Linked DNA regions of Styela clava. The protein of the gene in region 1 purifies or fractionates together with the protein of each later gene. This does not show direct contact. Links are inferred from orthologs where the notes say so. Each region holds a gene or a part of one and is shown in the gene's direction. Other genes may lie near its edges.

What was found.
Region 2: the proteins of uncharacterized protein LOC120327688 (region 1) and 60 kDa heat shock protein, mitochondrial-like purify together in Homo sapiens (affinity purification with mass spectrometry, with the first as the bait; 3 studies listed by BioGRID). This does not show direct contact. The link is inferred for Styela clava from reciprocal best matches to the Homo sapiens genes AMBRA1 and HSPD1.

The regions. Positions count from the first base shown.
Region 1 is NC_135256.1:1,559,050-1,571,921, forward strand, and holds the start of uncharacterized protein LOC120327688, read left to right. Parts: upstream 1-7,982; 5' UTR 7,983-8,012; coding exon 8,013-8,247; intron 8,248-10,698; coding exon 10,699-10,850; intron 10,851-11,296; coding exon 11,297-11,494; intron 11,495-12,341; coding exon 12,342-12,432; intron 12,433-12,872. UniProt on the Homo sapiens protein: Substrate-recognition component of a DCX (DDB1-CUL4-X-box) E3 ubiquitin-protein ligase complex involved in cell cycle control and autophagy.
Region 2 is NC_135251.1:7,879,909-7,891,914, forward strand, and holds 60 kDa heat shock protein, mitochondrial-like, read left to right. Parts: upstream 1-6,751; 5' UTR 6,752-6,861; coding exon 6,862-8,586; 3' UTR 8,587-9,836; downstream 9,837-12,006. UniProt on the Homo sapiens protein: Chaperonin implicated in mitochondrial protein import and macromolecular assembly. Together with Hsp10, facilitates the correct folding of imported proteins.

The DNA.
Region 1 (12,872 bases):
TAAGCATTTCTCCATTTTAATATGTATTAAAACTCAATCAACTGCTCTCTTTACTACCTGACCATCAAGTCCCGTGCAATATCCTCAAGAGACGATTTTGCGGAATGATGACAAATGACTCCTACATTTACGATATATTGATGTACGACCGGAACGAAATATTTCTAATGTTCTTCGACCATTTTCGAAGTTGGCTCATCGCTTCTTCTTAATCTCAAGGAAATAATACGACGCTCACTCGTGCTTTTTGCTTCAACAAGGCCAGATAAAAGCAGCCCCTGATTTCTCACGATATCTTAAAGAACTTCGCTGCCGAAGGTATCCAAGGTATACAAGCGCGCATTTTCATCTACCTCAATTTGTTCATTTGGAGAAAGGATTATTAAAAACAGTTTTCAGTAAATCGCCAATAGTCTTCAAAGCAGCAGTTTTTCAGCACATTAAATAGTTTAAGTAAGCATTTATTTGCTATTATCTGTTGTGCAAAAGTTCGCATACCATACATGAATTATTCTAACGTGGCGTGGCACACAGCAGGTTTATTTCAAAGACTTCGGCAAGCATCCCAATTTAAGTTGTTCACCCCATGTACTAAAGAATACATCCTTTAAGCATAATTTATACAGACTGTCTGGAATTGAGATAAAGTCGAGACAAACTTTGGGGTTATCGATTTTATTTAATTATAAAAAAAAGACGTAGGCTTTGAAAAATATACAGTTAAATGTGCTATCGCGATTTGCTGAAGGTTTTGTAATAGCTCTAATCACCACTGAGGTCTCTCATCTAAATTCTTATTTCTTTCCTGATCTATCACATATTATCAAATAATTTATTTCACATCGAATAAAACAAACACTAAGCTTCGAATTAGCCTAGAAAGCTAAACACATTCAAGTATTCTAAGCAAATAAAGAGTTTATGTATTAGATTTATGTAAAGCGTGTCATATTAATGTAGCTTACGTAGTGCAATACCTACATTTTTTGGAATGAAGGAACCCGTTGTTAGTGAGTCCAATATAAAAGAGAACCCGTCCTTAAATTATCAAATATAACCATCTCTATATAGAGGGTGTCCATAAAGTCCCTTTACAATTTCAATTTTGTTATGAAGTCAGTTCCTAATATATCTCAATCATGTTTGTTGTTTATAATCGGTAATTGCTCAAGTATTTTACTTCATTTAATACATCTGTGAAAGCCAAAACAATAAATGGTATCAATAAATTAATTCCTTTTGCAATTTTATATATTTTAAGACTTTATTGACATCACATATAACAAATACGCTACTCTATACGTTATTCCTGACCTGGCAACCCGCAACTGTTTCATAAAACAAGCGAAATAGTCGAGAGAAATCGCTCGAATGAACATAGAAGATAAAATTTGCCGTCGGCAAACGTTTACTTTCGTGGTATTAACCCTCAGCGCGCACGTGTTGGAACAATAACTGTTAAAGCGTCAGACTCTGTTAAAAACTGTGATTGGTTTCTAAGCTTTGGCTACGATTTTTGGAAGGACCGATTCTATCTCAATATTAACCCTCTACGCTCATATGGGCACAAAAGCTGTTAAATCGCCAGACTTGCGCATATCCACGCATTTCGCTCGAAACAAGACCTTGCGCAGGAACCCACTGGTATCTGAAAAGCTACGAACTTTGGAAGGACCGATTGTTTCAAGGCATTAACCCTCTGTGCGCAAGTGATGGCGATAGCTGTTAAAGCGTAAAACTTAATCGTGTGGCTTCGCAGGTTAGACATTTCGGAATCAAATAACGTGCACCCATCTCACACAAAGTGAATTGATTTGGCAATCTCGAGCCAAAAAAACATTTCTGGTCCTTCCTAAAATAGCGTATCGTTGGATATCGGTCGCTACTTGTACAAACCTCGTTCGGAGCAAAACGCGTCGTAAAAAAACATCAGGTTTTGTATATAATAGTACCAATATGGAGGTAACAAATTTTGTTCGCCTACTTTGCATCAAGTTGTATAAAGGGACTGAAACCTATGAACACAAGGTATTCACTTGGCTAACACAGACAGTCCCCAAACTGATAATAGAACCAAAATAAGGAGAATCGGAATAAAATTATGGACTAACCCTAACCTGGTACACATACATGGAAGTACCTAAATTTCAGCTCAGTGGGATTATTTTCGTACTATCGTGTTATTGCACCGCGCGTTCTCGTTGTGAAAAAAATTGAATAAGAATTGTTGTGAATCGTGTGGCCAAAAGAATAGTACGTGTTCACTCACCTGAACTATATAGGCTTTTCTCTCTCTCTGATTTTATTTATTAAGTTTATCCTTTACTTTTTCGACAAACATTGCTACTATTTCGACGATATTTGATCTGTAACGTTTCGTCTGGCCGAGGTCAGACTTCGTGTTAGTGTGCCGCAGAACGGTCATCTTCACTCTTGCTACAGTATCCTTGCATTAGACGTAAATGGATGCACTTACACGGGGGAATAAGGCACGGACTAGTTTCACGTAGCTTTGACTCTAAATTCAACTTACGCACCCTACACAACACCGGTCGATAGTTCGTTTTTCAGCCAGACATGACATCTCGAATTTCGCCTGATTAATCAATACTCTTTGGGCAATTAGAGATTACGGTTGTATTGTTTTGTTTTTAAAATTCGCCAGATTTGACTACATGATACATATATAGACAGGAACGTGCGAAAACTTTTCTTCTGCCTGTGCGACTTTCTGATAATGAAGCCGCTTATACCTAACTTCAAAAATAATTCGGTTGATAAACAAATTTTACATCTGGTTATACATGAGAAAAAAAGAATTGAAAGTCAAGTAAGAGTGAAATGGTTGTATGAATATTATTTAAATCATCAAACTAAGCAACACACTCATCCCGTCAACGTGTTGCCCGTGCCTTCTCCTGCATGTAGGGTTTCCTATAGGGAAAAATATCATATATACAAACTGATCTTAAAATCAACAGAATCAAAAAAATAACAAGGTATAACAATATAAAATTAACAGAATCAAAAAAATAACAAGCAATAACAAGGTAGTATTAAGCTGTCTACTGCCATTACTTTATTGTATTTTTTTTAGGTTAGATTAATGGGTAAACGCCGGGAAATGGGAATGGCATACCTTATACCAGTGGTCCCAACCTTTTTCCAAGCAATCCAAACTTAAAAAATATATATTTTGTAAAATCTCGATACCCAAGGATATACATACTAAACGGTATATAAGGTTTTCGTGGCTCATTGAATGACTGATATAAAACAGCCATTATAACATAAAATTAATTTCAACAGAAATAAATTCAAAGTTGCACTAATGAGAAAACTGCACTTGTTTACCATCAGCGAGTTTTTGGAATCGTGGGGTGGGTTCACCTAAGCCAAATAAATGCTGCAAAGTTTTTATGCTGTGACACTTTCCGCGTATACGATTCCTATTGAGAAAAACTAAAACACCAAATATAAAATAAACTTTACTGAAAAATAAAAAATTTCCAAGTGTTGTTGAAAACAGAAGCGACTTAAGAAGATTTCCAGGCGACCCATAGGTCGGGAAATACTGCCGTATACTAACTTACCTTAAGATAATCCGCATCAAAGTAAGCATATCGATGGTATGCTCCTCCTACATCTCTCCTGTAGGGGGTGAACACCCCACATGATATTTCAAACACTCCCCTCTAACATAAGTGATTCAAGAGTCTTGCTGTACAATAACACAAATATATTTCTGTAACGTTTCGTCTGACCAAGATCAGACTTCTTCAGGTCAGACCACACTTTAATAAGTTACAAATAGTTTTATCGCTAATAGCAAACCACTACCCCTTTCTCTTCCAGGGTTTAAAAACAATAAATCTCTATCTTGCATTCCTTATCCTAATTCGTTTCAGATGCACAAACTTAGTTAATTCCCAATATTTACAATAATCGTAGTCCATTTCGCCTCAATTGCGATTCTTTCAATATTAAAATATTCTGTAGCCTGGACTGCCGAAGGTACCGGAAATCTGAGTATTCGTTAACAACCGATTATCGCCTCAAAACACTTTGTGAGTTATAATCATCCAAAAAGCGGCAGAAGACATTCCATTGTTGCGTCGATAATCAGATAAGAAAATTGTCTGCATAACTCGCACGGGCGATTTTTGTGCGCATTTGAAGTAAATTTAATTGCCTGTTTTCTTAATGGCCACTTTATCAAATTATGTCGACTTGGTTTGGCGTTTCTTGGTAATGGGACAATAATTGATTGTGCAGTTTGACAAAACAGGAATATCGAAATTGCTGACGACTGCGCATAGACCGACTAGAGTCCAGGGTTTCCCAAACTCTGCCGAAATCAAACGCAAATTAGGTCCCGTTGATGACGTACCCGTGATGAGAACTCGTCGGCGAAACTTTGCATTAGGTCAAAGGCAATTATAGCATTCTGTGTACTCATTTTGAACCGTGTGCTAGTTCTATTGGGCGGCGCATTTGGAGGAAGCTTTTGTGAATTAAATCAATACCAATATCTTTGAATAATACCATTGCATTATGAGAAATTTCAGTAAACTCAACTAATCGAGGTCAAGACGTACTCGAGTTCTGTGCCGGACCTTTTGCTGCAATATATTTTCTAGTGAAAAAGCGCATACCAGGCCATTTTTTGTTTCAAATTATCTAGATTTTATAATTCATGTGTGTTTACTATGCCTATCTGATCCTATAACCATTCTTTTTATTATATTTTCGGTATATATAGACTATACCGGTATATGCGCAAACACTACCGTAACGTATGGAATGCGTAGTTGGTGGTTAGAGCAGATTCCACAGGGATGGATCTGTCTTGAAGCAGGAAACTATGGATGAAATTTTCGCAAGTAACCTTTTCTGATGTCTCTCCATGGAACTAAAAGTAGACCTCTAGGTCGAAGTATCGTTTCCGCCTTGAAATTAATGTTGGAATCCTAGACCAGACCAGTGGTTCTCAAGCTTCCATTATTTATGGCCCACGATCGTAGCCAGTTTCAAATTTCGAGAGGGCAGTTTTCCTGTGTAATGACGTAATATGAACCTTACTCGTGCCATTTGTTCCGAACAAGGCTGATGGCGGACACATGAACATAGTATGTGTACCAGGTTAGGTCATGATTTTATTTCAATTTTCTTCATTTTAGTTCTATTACAAGTTCGGTGACTAACCAAGTGCCTCCCGTAGTATTTGTACCGAAATTATGGACTAACCCATTCCTGGTACACATACTAAGTTCTGGTGTTCGCCATCTTGGTTCACATACTATAGGAGTACCGAATTTTTTTCGGCTTTCATTTGCTTTACTGATTTTCATTCGGTATAAAAAGTCGTTATCACAAACTACATTCTCGCAAAAGACCTTTCATGCAAAACTACATTATCACAAAAGATCTTTCCTACAAAACTACATTCTCACAAAAGATCTTTCCCACAAAACTACATACACACAAAATACATTCTCACAAAAGACCTTTCCCACAACAATACATTCTCACAAAAGATCTTTCCTACAAAACTACATTCTCACAAAAGATCTTTCCCACAAAACTACATTCTCTCAAAAGATCTTTCCTACAAAACTACAATCTCACAAAATATCTTTTCCACAAAACTACATTCTCACAAAAGACCTTTCTCGCAAATCTACATCTCAACAAAGATCTTTCCCACAAAACTACAATCTTGAAAGATTTCTTCTCCACAAAACTACATTCTCACCAAAGACCTTTCTCACAAAACTACATTTTCACCAAAGACTTTTCTCAAAAAACCACATTCTCACTAAAGACCTTTCCCACCAAACTACATTCCCACCAAAGACCTTTCCCATAAAAAATCTTTCCCGCAAAACTACATACTCACAAAATACATTCCCACAAAATACATTCTCACAAAAGATCTTTCCCACAAAAATATATTCCCACCAAAGGCTTTTCCCACAAAAATATATTCTCACCAAAGACTTTTCCCACAAAAGATCTTTCCCACAAAACTACATCCACACAAAATACAATCCCACAAAAATTCTTTCCCACAAAACTACATTCTCACTAAAGACCTTTCCAGAAAACTACATTCTCACCAAAGACTATTCCCACAAAAGACCTTTCCCACAAAACTACAAGAAGAAGAATCCAATCCTGAATATCCCCGGAGGTGGGACGGAGATCGAATCCGGTTTTGGCCTCCCCTGCTCTACAGCTGTAGTGCAGCTTTTGCCCCGCCCCTTACCCGATACCGTTGCGCCAGATTGTGGTCAGAATATCTTGGTGGTGAACTTCTCACTGAGTTTTGTTATTCGTCGATATACCGGTACTCAGATATTACTGTATTATGGTCCTACCGTACCGACGGTACCTACCTATCGGTCATTGAGTACCGGTAGGTACCGTACTGGAGTAATGACCGCCGTCAATATCCATGTTTATTTGTTTGTGTTTGTGATGAGACTTGTGATTTGTTTTCTTTTTTTTTTAATAGTTTTAAACCTTTTTTATTAGGTTTGTTCACTTTCCAGATTATTCGTCTTAATAATCTTAGACTATGTCTGTATGTTTAGCCTAGGGCTGCTTTGTTTTTCCGAATTAATTTAAATAAATTCTATCTAGCTACCGTACGCAGGTACCGTACGCCTACCGGTATAGTCTACCTATTTCTGTATGCAGACTAGGGTAATTCATTTTGAGTTTCTTGCGATTATTATAATTTAATATTATCCTACCTAAAATGAATGGTGTTATTTAGATATTTCATAGGCAGATACAGTAGCCTACTCACTGTCAATATCAATGAATAGTTTCAAAACTCTAGAATTCTAACTTTTTGAATTAAATATTAGAACCCAGGGTGTCGCTGCTCGATAACCAGCTTTGGTTCCTAGCGCCTTCTCTTCCCCAGTAAAACTGCTGAACTGTGTACGATGTATCATCACTTTCTAGTGATTTGTGCTTGTGATATTTTTTTTACTGGCTGCAAAAAATAAACTTGACTTGAAAGGTTCTGTGTGTCAGTCTGTCAGTGATACAATTGTATAAATTAATTTGACACTTTTAGGTGAGTGTTTCTGTGTTTAGGCGAGTTACTCAATTCAAGTTTTTGGTGGATTAGCACGTACATGCAGACTTGTCCCATTTTTTAACCTTGCTCATCCTCCAGGTCTTCTGCGTTTGTTTGTTGTTGTTTTTGTTTAATGCTACAGTCACCGAAATACAGGAATAAAATTGATCGATTGAGTGAACATAAACTACTTTCTTTGGCAAAACATTCTAATTTATATTCTGTATGCTTTGAATCTTATAAAGTTTTGTTTGTTTTCCTGATTCTGTATTCTGCAATCAGTTTTTATCAATTATTTTATGGTCTTTTATGCATATCATTGGGTCAAATTAAAGTTGTAGTTTAGCTTCTATACTTATATGTATATTTCTGTGAAGTTGAATAATAGATATATTTGTCAAAGGGGTTGATACCAACAAGACAATTGTAATTTTGCCAATTTCTTGAACTGTTCCTGTATTTTCATACTCAACTTGAATTTAATAATGCAAACAAGGTTTTACTGAATTCTCAATAAGAGAATTTTTTTTATCACAAATGTGCTTTCTCGAATATTTTTTCGCACTATAGTCTTATTTTGTAAAACTACATAAAATCCGTTCTTGTTCAACCTAATATAAAAATCATATTATACAAACACATATTACAGTATTATCGTAAGATTTATTTTTGCCTTTTCAGTTCACATACCGGTGGCAAAGGGGCACATTTTGCCCCCTTTTTCAAAATATATCTTGAAAGCTAATTGAGCCATAAGACATACGGATTGTCCAGCATAACGATTTTTCATAACGACGAAATTTTTTTTGAAAGTTGCAGTATTTGCAATTTTTTGTCTTGATATTCCTGGCCGGAATATGATAATTCCATTTCTCTTATGCATTTTCAAGCTAAAAACATTTCTTTTCAGGTTTAAACAATGTATAATAGCACATCATGGCAAGATAGTATTATTCCTATAAAAACAAATGTAGTTATAGCAGAAAGGAATCGTTCTCTTGGATTACGAGGTTGGAATTCACACAGAAGCCCACTAAGACATTACGGAGACCGGGTAGTTGCGTCAGTAAATTTGGATAACTCGAAATTCGAACTTCCTCCAAGGACGAAGACTACGTTTATCACAGCGTTCAGCCCGGACAACACTCTTCTAGGTTCGTATTATTTTTTTTTTCAAGTTGTAGCTTTTACACTAAAACCCTTGATAAGACTGGTCAAAATCATGGGTCTGGTATTTTTTAGTACTTCCGGTGGGCGTAGCATACTTCTTAACGCCCAGAACGCCATTTGCCGATAACAAACCCACTAACGCCTGCGATCTTTCTCATATCGGGATCATTGCGATGAGAAAACAAGAGAAATAGCTTGCTCCATTTTGCAAGTGCAGTTTTAAGTATTCTGTGGCGTCTGCAGCTGCCGCAAAACCATCGCGGTATTTTCATACCATGACCGCTACGACCAAACCTATGGCGACTGACTTTTTAGCTGCCACAAACCAATTACGTAACCACGGCAGGTGGGCCGTAAAGACAGGGCTGTCCCTTATGGTGACAAATATTGGGTAAGTTGGAATGTTTTTTCTTATGGATACAGTTTTGATGGATTTGGGGTTAGGGTTAGGGTTTAAGTAGATATAATTCCACATGATCAATTAAAATCTGGTACATTAATGTTTGAATATATACCGTTAATACTGATTACTGAATACTGAATAGCGCTATAAAACCATGGCAAGAGCTGCCGCGGTTCGTTCGTGGCAGGAGCTGCCATGAAGCGGTAACAACTGCGCCTCCAATTTTGGGTGATTGTCTGCACATTTTGGACTACCATTCGTACACTTTGGAGAGCTTTATTAAGCTACTGGGATGTCGTAGTGAAGTAATTCTTCAAATCAAAATTAAAAGTATTCAATTCAAATTAAAAGCACTGTTGCTGCCAATTTCACTTATTTTTCTGGTTAGGTTGAGTTAACTATACTTACAAAGTTGTCAAGTTTGTAGTTCAAAGTATTCATAAATCATAAAAGCGTGACTGGTCGGAATAACCATTCCCTGAATCACGAGCATTATTGCTGCGAATTTTTAACTTATTTTTCTGGTTAAGTTGAGTTAATTTTGCAAACAAATTAATCAATTTCGGAGTAAAATGCATGAATCATAGAAGCGTGACTGGTCGGAATAACCAATTCCTAAATCACAAGCATTGTTGCTGTGAATTTTTAACTTTATTGTTCTGGTTTAAGTTGAGTTAATTTTGCAAACAAATTTGATCTAGCATATATAAAATATTCATAAATCATTGAATTGTGACTGCTTGGAAAAATCTAAATCTAAATCATAAGCAATGTTGCTGTCAATTTTATCTCATTTCTTTGTTTTAGTGAAATCATGCAGACAAATTAATCAGGTTTATAATAAAAGTATTTATAATTTATTGAATCGTGACTGATCGAAATAAATATATTCTAAATGACAAGCACTGTTGCTGCTAAGTTCCACTTTCTTGCTTATCGGTTTTGGTCAAATCTTGCCAAATAATTACTCAGGTATATATTGGAAGTATTCATGATTCATTGAAGCATGTCTGGTCAGAAGAATCAATCTATAAATCACAAGCACTGATGCTGCCAATTTCCACTTATTTCTCTGGTTAGGTTGAGGTAATCATGCCAACAAATTAATCAAGTAATTATTAAAAGTATTTATGAATCATCTAAGCTTGTCTGGTCGAATAAACACAGTCTAAATCAAAAGCATTGTTGTTGTCAATTTTTTCACCTCTTTGTTTTTCTGTTTTGATCAAATGAGGATATCTTTCGGCTTCCATTTTCACTTTTGAGTGGGTGTTTATAACTATGCTATGGCCGAATTTCTCAATAAAAAAAAAACTCTGGTTTTACAAAGAAAATTTTTTTTTTCGAGTCTGCAGTCGGGCAAGGACTTACCATATTAATTAATGGCCTTTTCCTCCTAATTAACACCTACACTTTAATTGTGTAATTACCTTCTTCAATGATTATCTGTGATTTTAATTTAATCTCTAACACATAGTGAGGGCTTTATTTACCTACTGCCATACCAAACCTATTGAAAACCTTCACAAGAACTAAAATTACTGAACGCTCATTGTGAGAATAGACCTGTGGTATGTGTTGTCTATTCCAGTGGTTTCCAACCTTTTTTCAAACCATCAATTTTTTTAAAATCTCAATACTAGGCGGCGTGTAGTGCTTTTAAAAACCTCAAAATTAACTGACTAATATGAAACAACCATTTTTTAATAAAATTTGTTTTAACCAAAATTACAGTAACTCAAAGTGAGAAGGCTGTTCTTATAGGCCATAAGCGAGTTTTGAAATCGAGGCATGTCGAGGCGCGTAGCAATCAATGAGGTTCTAATTTCATTTCTAGAAAATCAATCATTCGAATTGACCAAACTAAGTGTCCGGTATAAGATGCTCTACCTCTAAAATAAAACAAAAATGGGGATAAATGTCAAAATAAGGACAAAATTTTTTCCAATAAAAACCCTTTGATAATAAGGACAAATCTTAGATATAAGGACGTTATGTTTGCCTGTCTTATTTATTTTAAAAAAATTTTCAGCGAGTTGCCATGGGGACCACAATATCCATATTTTGGACTTGAAAACTAAAAAGTTGGTGAAGTCTCTTTCTGGTCACGAGCGTTCGCCATGGTGCGTTACTTTCCATCCTGGATCAAATGAAATTCTTGCTACAGGATCCCTGAATGGAGAGGTAAGAGTTTATTTTTTGATGATATGTCTTTGAAAGGAGGATATGTGTAATATTAAATGAAAGAAAAGTCGCATTGGAGGGACAACTTTACTTCAAACATGGTTTAACTATTCACAGGCGGCAATGTTAATACTAAATGAATATTTTAAGAATTAGTTTTTTTTATGCAGTAAATTCTTAATTTAAAATATAAGAAACTTCAATTTGGTCAAACTAAATCATATGATCCATTGGTATCTGACATTTGCGTTCTCTGGTTCATTTCAGTTGTAACTTCTAACAGAGATGAGTCTCTCTTACTTCTGAGTGCCTTCAACTTTGCTCAGAAATGAGTCTCTTATACGATTGAGTGAATGTTCTTAATAACTTTCTCAGAACTGTGTGTAGCCTTGCATTCAATGAATATTATTAAATATTTTCAACATGGTAATTTATTTATTTTTCAGGTCAGGGTGTGGGATCTACGGGGTGAGGGGAGTGAATCTTGGACAGTGGATAATAACGAACTGGTAGCGATTGCGTCACTTTCATTTCATCCCTATGATCATGTTTTAGCCATTGCAGCAGGAAATGAAATACATTTTTGGGATTGGAGCTTGCCGCATCCGTTTGCGTCTGTGAAAACTAACTCTGAATCTGAGAAGGTGAGACAGAAAACAGGACAAAGTTAATCAAAATTTAAATTTTTGGATTTTATAATGATGTATTTATATCTTTCGCTTTGATTCTCAACCTCTGTATAGCTGGTAAACAGGAGTGCACAACAAAGCATATCAAAATTTAAATCATCAGATTTTATATCGCGCTAAATATTCGAATAACGAATCGAATATTAAAATATTCGAATGGCATTGTTGCTAAACGGATATCTGGTGCCACATGACCGGGAAAACTAGCGCGCCTCTAAACCGATCATGAATCTACACCTCCGATGTTCTGGACACCTGTTGTGTAGAAAGAATATTCGTTATTCGACTATTTTGTTTTCTTTGAAAGTATTTGAATTATTTGATTCAAAAAAAAGATTCAATTTTGCCCACCCTAGCTTTGACTAAGTCTCTGTAAAAGTAGTCATTACTTGGTGGGAAGTTTGGAAGAACCGTAATCTTTCAAATCAAGGTATTACACACGGGGTGAGGTCATTCTATCTGAAATATGGATGTATAAGGCGGATCGAATATTCAGTTTTTCTCAAATTTTTTGTCCATAATGTCTTAATTTTTTTTCAATTGCGAAGGGAATTTATCAATACCATGTATTGTTTTGGCCCTCACAGATGTATTAAATGAAGTAAAAATACCAGAACAACTATTGATTAAAAAACAACGAACCTTCTGACTGGTATGACTGTTATGAACTGATTATAACAAAATTGAAATTGTAAAAGGGACTTTATGGACACCCTGTATTATTTATTTGCTCTGCGCAAGCATTCTTCATTAGACTTCACACCTAGTTTACCTTCCTATCATCCATTTTTATATATTCCAGGTTCGTTTTGTCCGTTTTGATCCGTGGGGTCACTCTATAATTACCGGGGTCGGAAATGCGGAAGATGACGAAGAGGATGAACCAACGTTTGGTGAGTAAGCTCGTGTATCATGCTATTGAACATCATTTTGAATTTCAATGTATGTTTCGGCCTTGTTCTTTAGATTGTATTTAACTTAGATTGCTCAGCTTGGTTGGCCTTGTACTATATAAATCAGTGTTATTCAAACCTTTTTCACATGACTCACTCGACACGGCCAATTTTTTTCGTGACCCTCGTGAGTCGTGACCAAAACGAACATAAAAAAATTTAATACAGAGAATATTAAAATAAAAAGGACAATAGCTTCCATGAAACTGATGTGCTTGCATATTCTCGCACAAAATATCGAACCTGGCGCTACTTTAGTTATGGTGGGTCTTAGTACTGGCTTCAAATCCTTCAAATTTAATCAATGTTTTATTTTCAACATGACTCATTGTTGAAAAAGTTTTTTTACCAATCGCATTGAGCCATTTCGCGACCCACTG
Region 2 (12,006 bases), on another chromosome or scaffold:
CATTTCAATCAATCATTTATTTTGATTCTCTGACATAAACAATACAAGGTTCCTAGGTTTATAACTTTGCAAACTTTATTTCTGTTTCTGCAAAAATATCAATTTTCAGCAACTTCTTATAAAGATAAGTTCAAATATTGGATAATTCTTTAACAGCCAATATGTGCTGGTACCAGTACAGTATCAGTTGTCATTATTTTAGTATTTAATCTGTGTTAGTTGTGTAGTCTGACTTGTCCAATTTATTTATAATTTCTGTGTTTGTACAAATTAGGAAAAATTATTAGTTTTATTGGTAAATATAATTTTATCACATAGCGCAAGATTGCCACCAGGCAGCCAGCTATATTCATATCGATGATAAATAAAGCATAACTCAGTACCGGTAACTGGTGTTAGCAAAACGATTCAATTTGCCGATGTTTCGAATTTCTATTCAGAAAAACTTCATCAGGCATGATATGGCAAGCACATTTATACAATATTGTGCTTGTCACATGTTATGCTGATTTTTTCACATGCTATGCTTACTATGGAGTCGAAATAATCTTTCAATTATACTACGGTGCGGTAACCAATGCATTGCCGGTACGGTTCACACACTGACACAGCACAGGACGACATAAAATAAATTCTGGTGAGGTGACATTTGACCCTAACTAACGGTTGCCATATATTACTGGTAAATATATTTCAGTCTGCATAAAACCTGACCTTAATCAACTTCGGGGAACCTACTTTTGTGCGGTTTTACAGACTTCCAATAATAGTTTGGATCGGCCTCTACGTCTAGGACAATTATGTAACCAGGATGTCATGCTGAGCATAGTTGGAATGTGTGAGGATCTAAATATTTATCCCGGGAGATAGCAAAGGGATAATAGGGCTTAGTTATGTGCGAGAGGATAGCTGGACTCCTCGCAGTCGTAGGGTGGTTCACGTTACCGCTGGTTCGATAACTAAAACTAATCCTATACCCGACATGGACTGGTAACCGGACGAGAGGCCGTGGTTCGCCATATGGTTAAGCCGTCTTATCGGCTTTCCCCTCCACCGGGATAAATATGTAAATCCTATCCAAACCTTATGACGAACCACGGCCTCCCGTCTGTTACCATTCCATGTCGGATATGGGATTAGTTAAATATTTGTTTTCTGGAGCATAAGCTTCATAGTGGAGGAAGCCATAACCGACCAGCGGTGACGCGAACCACCCTAACATAACTGCCGGTACATCCCACCTCGATCCTAACTTGCGATTCAAGCTTGCGAACTGTGGGTATTCATACGGAGGTGCAATGCCAGGCTTGTTTCCTAACCCTAATAAACCAGCCGTCTAGTTCTTATTTTTAACTATCTAATCCAGGAGTGGGCTAGTTCCAGATGATAGATTGCTTACTGGGCCGGATGCTCGATATGAAAAGCCCATGAATAGAAACAGTTTATTTGCAAAAAAATATCGTAACAGCTTATGTACAACAAATATATATTGCGGTGCTTCCTAACCTTTTCCACTTCGTGACCCACTTGTATCGCCATTTTTTCTTTGTCACTCACAATGGGGTGTTAATATATTAGAAAAGATACAAGGTATCCAAATGCAATATATTATTGATGCAAAATTTAAGCTTGTATATTTGATATTAGCAGATCAAGTGGATGATTGATAGGGGCTCATTGCCAACGTAGCATTGACACTCAACATATTGTGATTTTGAAGTCATTTCCTGCCTCAATAAAACCACATTTGACGTAATCCGAATCAAAGTTTTTCACTGTAATCTATTGAGATTTTTTACTTCGTTACCTTTTCTGTTTAAAAATTACCCATTTTGTTTCTTACAAAAATTAAACAAAGTTAGGGTGTTTTGATAAAGTATATTAACCCTGATCTACTCAGTATTCAAAATGGAACTCATTGGACATAAAATTAACGACTACATAAACCGGTTTACTGGCTACTGTTTACCCGAATTCAACAACTGGTAAATTGCGTCATAAGGGTTATTGTTATGTGATAATAATGCCACAATTTCTTGATCTTGTTGAAAATTGTATGTAACATTTGGAAATGCTTCGCGACCCGCCAGGGCGAAGATTTGTAAATTACATCAATGACATTAAACAACATTGTTTAATGTCATTGATTACATCCAGGTTTGGATTTTGCGTGAGATATTATTTATTTTGCGGTACGCTATATATTTATTTATATTTCCAAAAACTATAGTCGTATAACTTCAGCGGGCACAAGTGGGCCGGATGAAACACTCCACGTGCCGTAATTTGCTCAACCCTGATCTAATCCCACTGTTTGCAAATCAGACAATTAGACTAAGATTTTGACCAGTTTTGTCATTAAAAAAAGCAATAAAACAAACAATTGATATCCCCATTGGGAGATTGCAGATATGTTATGGAATTTTAAGGTATTGAGGTAAAGCCGTTTGTATTTTAATAAATTATAGCTAAACGTCCTCAGAACATTTCGTACTCGCTACTAGTAGGTTACGGTCTTCCAACATGCGCGTATATACATCTGTAATCCGGTAACCTTGTTCACGAACTGCTAAACACAATATAGTCGTTTTTGCTTAATAATCAGCATAATAGACGATAAAGAAAATTGATGAGAACAAAATAAATAAAACTGATTATAGAATCGGGAAAGCAAACGAAACCTCAAGTAAAGTATAAAGCGTACAGATTTTAGGTGGGAAGTTATAGATAAAGGAAGTAGTACGTGTTCGCTCTCCCAAAAGTGTTAAAACTAATTAAGGCATGCACGCACACATACACACACACCTACAATCACCGAGACATGATAAGATCGGAAGCGAAAAAGCGAGACATAAATTCAATTACTTAGTAAAAAGAAAAATATACAAACGAGTAAAAAATGACTAAATTTATTCGCCACACCGATTTAATGATTTTATGAGGATTGCCAAATTGGATACCGATTTAGTCAACAAGAGGGATATGCTGTGCAGAGAAAAATATTCCTCAATCAGTAGTTTATTCCTCACCATACTTAAAACAGGCACAAACATACAAATTGCAATAAATTAAATTATAAATAGGCCATATTTCAGGGTGAAGGAGACGCGAGTAACCAATACTGGTTATCGATCAGCGGCACCTTTAAAAGGAGATATTACCAAGCTGATTGAAAAATACCTAGTTACTTATTTCTATAATTGATTCGAACTGATAGCCGGACGAAATTCCATGGTTTGCCATATAATTATTCAGGTTTATCGACTTCCCTACGATCTCCCGAATAAATATGATGTGAAACCTTACGCAGAATTGCCACGAGGCGACGCAAGAGTTCGATACGCCTGGATGCATCCACGCCTGTTTCTGGATTTTTCTGCAAAAGAAACGCGTGCTCGTGTGATCGCCGGTTGTGCAATCGATCGACCTTCCGTCGTGTCTGTCTCGCGCGCAGTCACACAGTCGGTTGTTTTCAGAAAGCGTTTCTTTTATTGCTGCTGCGATTTGTGATCGAGAATATCTTGATGTCGGAATGAGGTATTTGGTTAGAAAGCTATTTAACGTTATTACTGTAAGATATTTGTAGTTACGTTTGCTCAAAGCAAACCAATGTATAAAACGTTTAGAATAGTGAAAGCAGCAAATTATTCCTTTGTATTTTGTTTGTCCGTTCGTTGTTGTTTTGTGTTTTGTTTCTATCAGAGTGGCCAGATAAAATTGATTGATTGAAGTATGGTATCGGTAACTCTTCACTGAGTTCTGGAGTTAAGTGTTCATACTGCTGTACTGTGGAGAGGAGTCTTGATCGCAGGATTGTTTCTGTGGTTTCTGCAAAGTCTGAAAGTGCTGAAGCCAAATATTTTTATTTCTCAAGGAATTGACTACTGCAGCCAGTCTGGATTTCATGGCCTTTTTGAACGAGAAATCGGGCGTGCAATCAGAAATTCCCGCGTGCAAAATAAGAATTCCTGGCGTGCAATTATAGCTCACGACGTGCAAAACAACTGCACTCGCGTGCAACTGACTTTGACATCAGATACCTCTCAATACATCCGCGTAAAATTACCGGTATCGGATAAAAAATACGTTGAATCAGAGAAAAAATGGACGTTTGACCTTTGACCCCAAACATTATTTCTACAGTTTGTCGCTAATTTTGAGAGTGTTTGTGCGACTTTGGATACCGGTACTGTTCAGTACATCCGCGTAAAATTATTGGATACGTTGAACCAGAGCAAAATGGACATACTTTGTCATTAATTTTGGTAGTGTTTTTACGTAGAATTAATGGATAAAAAATACGTCAAATTAGAGCAAAATGGACGTTTGACCTTTGACCCCAAACATTATTTTCATACTTTGTCACTAATTTTGGGAGTGTTTGAGCAACTTTAGATACCGGTACTGTTCAGTACATTCGAGTAAAATTATTGTATGAAAAATACGCTGAATCAGAGCCGTACTTGGCCATTGGTGCGAAGGCGATCTTTTCGTCCATAACTATTCTCACGGGATACCTATTTCCTATCATTCAACACGATATGGACCTTTCCCCGAGCATCGACTTCCTTGTTTACTTCGTGACATTGGCCAATCAGCAAGATGCAAAAAAGGACGTAACAATGAGAGGAATTTTTCGCGGGTCAAATGTTGGGAAAAGGTCCATGGTCTTTTTGCTTCGCAATATTTCGATCAGACCAAATCTTGCAGGCTGGTATTTGTCGACAATTGTGGAGTTATAATATTTTGGCATCTTTATATTACTGGATTATTGATTTTAAAACCATTTAAACCGATTTACATTGGTGAGCAATTGCAAATTTTCGACGTGCAAAATTGATTTCGCTCGCGTGCATTTTTGCGGAGCGCTAGCGCCCTCGGGCGTGCACCTGCCATGGAATCCAGTCTGGTACTGCAGTACTGCCCTTACGATACCGTACTGTCTGTATTCAAAAATAATTTGATGCTAGAAATTCTGAAATAATGCAGAGTCTGTGTGTGATGAATGTCTTATTGAAGTAAATTGAAACCAAAAACATTGATTATTAAATGTTACAAATGCAGAAAAAATAATTTGATTGTAACTCATTGTGTATTTTTAACATTTTTGTCTTGTGTCACCAATTTAAGAATTTAAGGTGCTTAAAGAAATTATCTTATGTTAATAAATCATTAATAAACCACCTTTCTGTATCAAATGATTAGTAACAATTTTTTTGCAGTTTTATTGCTGCCTTAACATCAATAGTTTTTTGTTCTAATTATTGGTTTGTCACAATTTTCCAATTTATTTGTTTATTCACCACAACTCACCTCATTTAAAGTGTCTTTTAGCCTGCAAAAATATCTGAATCATACCCTAAAATTTTTCAACCTAATGAGGTGCTGTAAATATAATAGAATTTGCTGATAGGGTGGTGTAGCCAGTCTGCGGACGATTTCATTCAAACCGATATAAAACTGAAAAACCAATATTTTTAACCTGTTAATTTTTGCATCGTAGGTGCATTGGCATTTAATCTACACGCTAAACCTCGAATTACCTTTTTAAGACCAGGGGTTAAAGCTATACAAACCACAAAAGTACGACACTCTGAAGACATATTTGCGACCGAACGACCAGTGTGCGACCACGGATTTCAAGCCTTGAACATCGTTTCTGCTGCGTCGAGACTAGGGCATACGCAGCCATGTGTGAAAAAAGTGGCCTTCTAATTGCATTTTTGACCGTCATATATTTTAAGAACACGGTTATTTCGAACAAAACTCGTCAAATTATAAACAAAGCACCGCATCACAGCAATCAAAAAAAAAAAACATGGTGGTCACAAATTGGTCGACAAAGATATTATCGACGTATTGGAAATGCGCACCCTCCAATTCCCCCTCCTTTAAATGTAGAAACGCGAAACTTTAAAGATGGTTAAAAGAAACACAACTCTACCCACTTGCCAAGTTTCATCTTTTTATCTCTTTTATTTGTATGGTTTTTCAAGCTTTTTTCAGGGACAATGGGTAGTTGGCGACATAGAAAAATGGTCCGTTTTTTTTTTCGGTCGCTACTTTTTTGTTTGTGGCCGCATTTTAGTGTAATTTCGCAGAGCTACAGGGGATAAGTGGACGATGACGTGTGAGAAATATCGTTGCGGTTCGTTAGTTTTTTTGGCATTAATTTAATTGATGAAGTTGATGGTCGCAAATAGGTCGTGGTTGCAAAGTGGGTAAGCCACCCTATTTATTATCTCAATTTTCGGTACTCAGATACTTTTTTCAAATTCGAATAGTCGATATATAATAAATAAAATAAAAGGTAATAAATAAATAAAAGTTTCCCATTAGCTGCCTATGTGATTTTGAACTTAATTATTCCGGTTCAGGTTTTATTGATTTAAATTGTAATAAACTAAAGTCCTGAAATGCATCAGATTGCATATGACACGATTTTAGCTGCCTCGACCCTGCAGTTTTTGGGATTTATGGTATGCTAGATCGTACATCTGTTCAATTTAAGACCATTGATACCTCAGATTTTATAATATTTTATGAAAATTGTTTGCAAACCGCCTGAAGTGAAATCAAGCAGAAATAGCATTTATATATTTGCTCATTAGGATGAGAATATTCTGGCAACTACATATAAGTAATTCTGATTGTGAATGATGTTACGCTGAAAAAAACGACCTTGATCAAATTTTTTTACAAGCGAGATTTATCATATTTTTGTCCAACAGTTGTTATTTAATGATTAAACTTTCAGTATTTACTTATTATTTATTACAGTTGTAGTTTTGACCAGGTTAACGTAGACCTGCACTTCCAGCTTTCATTAAATTTAATAATCTGAAAACAAGAAATATAAAAATGCACAGAGTTCCACAATTGGTTCGAAAAGTTGCCCAGCCAGCAAGCCAGATGGTTGCAGTTCGTGGCTACGCAAAGATTGTCTCTTTTGGTTCACCTGCAAGGGAGGAAATGTTGGCAGGGGTTGACAAACTTGCGGATGCGGTAGCAGTTACAATGGGACCTAAAGGTCGTAATGTTATTATTGAGCAGGCGTGGGGAGGGCCAAAAGTAACCAAAGATGGAGTTACTGTCGCAAAAGCGATAGAATTCAAAGATAGATTGATGAATATTGGAGCAAAACTTGTACAAGATGTTGCAAGTAACACCAACGACGAAGCGGGTGATGGAACTACGACTGCTACGATAATCGCAAGAGCAATTGCGAAAGAAGGCTCGGAGAAAATTAACAGAGGTGCGAATCCAATCGATGTTCGACGAGGTATTCAAAAAGCGGTTGTGAAAGTCACTGATGCATTAAAAGAATTATCTAGACCTGTGACAACACCTGAAGAAATTGCGCAAGTAGCAACCATTTCCGCAAACGGTGATAAGGAGGTTGGCGATCTCATTTCCGAAGCTATGAAAAAAGTCGGCAGAAATGGCGTCATAACGGTAAAAGATGGAAAAACTTTGAACGATGAGTTGGATGTTATTGAAGGCATGAAATTTGATCGAGGTTATATTTCACCTTATTTCATCAACACAGCGAAGGGTCAAAAGGTCGAGTACCAGGATGCTTTCTTGTTGATAAGCGAGAAGAAAATAACCTCTATTCAAAGCATTGTACCAGCGCTCGAACTTGCAAACGCTCAACGTAAACCTCTCATTATAGTTGCAGAAGATATTGAAGGTGAAGCTCTTACAACCCTCGTCGTAAATCGTTTGAAAGTTGGTTTACAAATTGCTGCTGTAAAAGCCCCAGGCTTTGGAGACAACCGTAAGAATATGCTGAAAGATATGGCAATTGCTACTGGAGGAATCATTTTCGGTGACGAAGCCATGGAATTAAAATTAGAAGATGTTCAAGTCCATGATTTAGGAAAAGTTGGCGAAGTTGTAATTACCAAAGATGATACTTTGTTTTTACGTGGAGCGGGGAAACAGGACGATATCGAACGCAGGATCGCTCAAATTCAAGAACAACTTGAAGACACATCAAGCGATTATGAGCGTGAAAAATTGAATGAACGTCTTGCTAAACTTGCCAGTGGCGTCGCCGTCTTAAAAGTAGGTGGTTCAAGCGAGGTTGAAGTCAATGAAAAGAAAGATCGTGTCACAGATGCTCTCAACGCAACACGAGCAGCTGTCGAAGAAGGAATTGTTCCTGGAGGTGGAATCGCTCTTCTCCGCTGTTCGCCTTCACTTGAAAATATTGAGGTCGATAATAAGGACGAACAAATTGGGGTCGACATTGTGAGGAAAATTCTCAGAATTCCTACGTCAACTATCTGCTCCAATGCTGGATTGGAAGGTCAACTTATCGCAGAAAAATTACTTCAAGCTGAAGGAGATTATGGGTACGACGCCCGTGAAGACCGGTATTGTAACATGATGGAAGCTGGCATCATTGACCCGACAAAAGTAGTCAAGCAAGCTCTTGTTGACGCATCAGGAGTAGCGTCGTTATTGACAACTGCAGAAGTTGTCATCACAGAAGAGCCGAAAGATGAATCAGCTGGGCCACCTATGGGTGGTATGGGAGGCGGAATGGGGGGCATGGGAGGAATGGGTGGGATGATGTAAATCTTCCACACTGAATTATTAAGATTCAGAGACCGTCCCTCAACTGAGATAGTTCAATTAACTGCCTATGAACTTGATTCAAAACACTGCAGACAGAGTTCAACATTCAGATTTCAACGCATTTTAAAATGATGGCTACCCAGAGCCAGATAAATCAGGCATTTTTAATTTATTTAATAAAATTGGACCACTGGACGTCTCATTCTGCTATTTTATAGTCTTGAACATTCACCCAGGTCCATATTCCATCACATGGATCTGATGCTTCAAGTTTTAATTTGGTTGTTAGGGCAGGGGGTTTAAAAATAAATAATTACAATTCTAAATACATTTTGAAATGATATATAACAAATTGGGTCATGTTTGCAAAGAAATTTGCAGAAATTCTTGATGGAACTTGAAAATTCAGTGATGCAACCCCTAATAAACATTGCTCTGACCGATTTCATGTTATTTGAGAGTGTCGTAAATTACTTGGAAGTTTTTTTTCTGTCTGACCATCAGCCAAATACTAATAATTTTAGATAATGTGAAATTATCTTTTTTTTAATAGGAAATCACAAAGCGTGTTACAATTATCGTCCATTTTGCAATTGATTTATTCAGCCTGTAAGATTATGGAACATACCTGAAAGGGTCATCACGATTTTCAATTACCTTGCCAATGTTTGAACTCTGACCTTTGAACTTAATAATTCCATTTTTTATTGATTTGCATTTTTACTTGTAATTGTGTCATTGCTGTCCTGTGAGCCAGTGCAAAAGTAATTTTGGAAATTTTGATGTTAAACTTCAAGATATGGATTATACCAGGGGGGGTTAATGTTGGTTGCATGGGCTGCATTCGGAAAATATTTTAGCGAAGGGGTGTTTATTTTTTATCATATAGTTACCATATCTTAATAAGTTAAAATTTAGTATGTAAAATATCCCCAATTGAAGATTTTTGTTGTATGGCAAAGTAAAAATATCAAATGATACAAATTAATTGCCAAATCGAAGTTAATTTTCATTTTCACAACTTCTCGCAGGCAAGGGGTCGCACAGAATGCTTTGATGTGCCGCAGTTTGCTCATCCCTGGTTTATATCCTCTAGCTAGCTACATGCCCGCTGCTATCACAGTTTTTAATTTCATTTTTCATCGACTCTCTCGTGCACCATTGTTGCAAGTCTGTTACACGTTCAACAATAATTTCTTGTGATTGATTTGAGAAAATCATGCCATTAAATTACTGCCAAGCTGTGAGGTAACTATTTTTTATTTTGAGGCTTTGTGAGGAACCGAGGCAAGGGAGGTATAGATCTTTCCAAACCGGAGGTCGCAGGGAGTACAGCAATTTCACATAAAGTACTATATCTATTGTACTTTTTTAGACTTTTGACTCTAACACAATCATTAAAACTAGTGCGAAACAAAAACTCTCTTTTTCAACACATAGGATTAGAGAGACTGCGCCCTTGTATAACAATGTCGACCTTGATTGTGAGGTCTGATTAGGGGCCCGCTACTGGGAACAGGGGTTCCCGGAAAATTTGAATTTATTAGAGGGGTTCGCGAGCCTGAAAGTCTGGGAAGCCATAATGTAGAGAAATGGTCTGGTAAAAGACTGAAATATATAATAAACTTGTAACTGTCAAACCCCCCTGCATAGTGGTGTGTGACTAACATTAAAGGGGCCAAATCTCATCGACCAAGATTATGTCAGGCTTGCTAATACAAATAGTGTATTTCAGTACCTATAAAAATACTTCCTAGAAATTTATATGTTTGGGATACATCGTCCATTTAATGTGTGAATAACATTCCAAATAGCGCGATATTGAGTGACATTCCAGCGTCAGTGTCGTGCATTTCTCGGCGTTTTTTAAAATCCCCGCCCTAACAAAGCCATATACATGCAGGCACTTGTTTTTGTAAGGGCCGGTCCACATTTTAAATAACTAACAGTTGGGGTCACGTGAAACTAACTACTTTTTCTTGCTCTATCTATGCCTTTGTACAGCTGGATCCGTATGCGTATAACACAAGGGTGCTGTAGCAAAAGTCAAAATGACTATTCTCTTTAATTCAAGAGTTTTGCTACACACACAAATATATTTTTGCAATGCTTTGTCTGACCGAGGTCAGACTTCTTCAGACAAGCATTTTACAGCTATGACAAGATACGCAATGGCATGCACATAAATAATGGTATCAAATGTTGGGTCTGTTTCCGATAGAAAGAAATAACTAGGATTGGGACAATGCCAGAACAACAGGGAAGCAATGCTTCTCGGCATTTGATACCATTATGTGCATGCGATTGCGATTCTTGTCACAAGTGTAAAATGCTTGTCTGAAGAAGTCTGACTTCGTTCAGACAAAGCGTTACAGAAATATATTTGTGTAAGTGTCTAGCAAGACTCTTGAATTAAATAGAATAGTCACTTTAAATATGAAAAGAATTATCCCTGAGCAGAGCTACAGGCGACAGCTAAAATGCCAAAAGCCATTGGCTGAAGAAATACAGTGAGAAGTAAAGCTGTTAAAAAAAAGTTTAAAGTATTAAAAAACACTGAAAACGAGAACGACTTCTGTTACAAAATATTCATTATTATTGGTAAAATATTTATTCGCTGTTTGGTTAGGTTCCACATTTATATCAAACCTAAAACTAGCTGAATAGTGTAGGACTTGACTGTCAGGCTCAATCACGGGTATCGCTTTTCATTAGTTCACGCGCCTCCCTTGGCCCAGAAATGCCATTTTTACTTCTTTTTGCATAATTAATCCACAAAGTGCCTTCTATGTATAGTGGGAAAATAAACAACTGATTTTTGTTACATCAGCGTACTGATAAGTAGAGGGAGGTGGGCCACATGGGACACAGTGAAAAATCAGCTTTCGCACTCATAATATACCCGGAATCATGTCTGCGGTTCAATGTTTAAATCCACTTTTCGATCAGTTACCACGTCCCCGCAAACGGATAGCGGCCGTGCAGGGCGACGCAAGCTACGAGCAGGGGGGTTCCACATAGGATTTGAACCCGTGATGCGTAATTGTGTGAATCTACACAATGTGTATTCTGCGACTCCAACACAGTTAATTGAGTCAAACACTTTAAACCACCAGACCATCGCGTCGCACAAAACACTACTAAACCTGAGTAATCTATCGGAGAATAAACTATAGAAAATAATAAACATACGTTAACTGATCCAGGGATTTGTTCAAAAAAAATGTTCAAAATCATTTTTTGTGCATGTTTTGTTTAAAATGCCTGTAATATTCGAGTATTAAATGTGTTAGGGCTAAAAAAAAATAATGGAGTTAAAAACTTGCCAATCGTATCTTATTCGCAATAAACTCTCCGAAGCCTGGGTCCTAGGGGCTTCAACCCATATTTCGTAATTTATGCAATTTAGAAATGTAATTG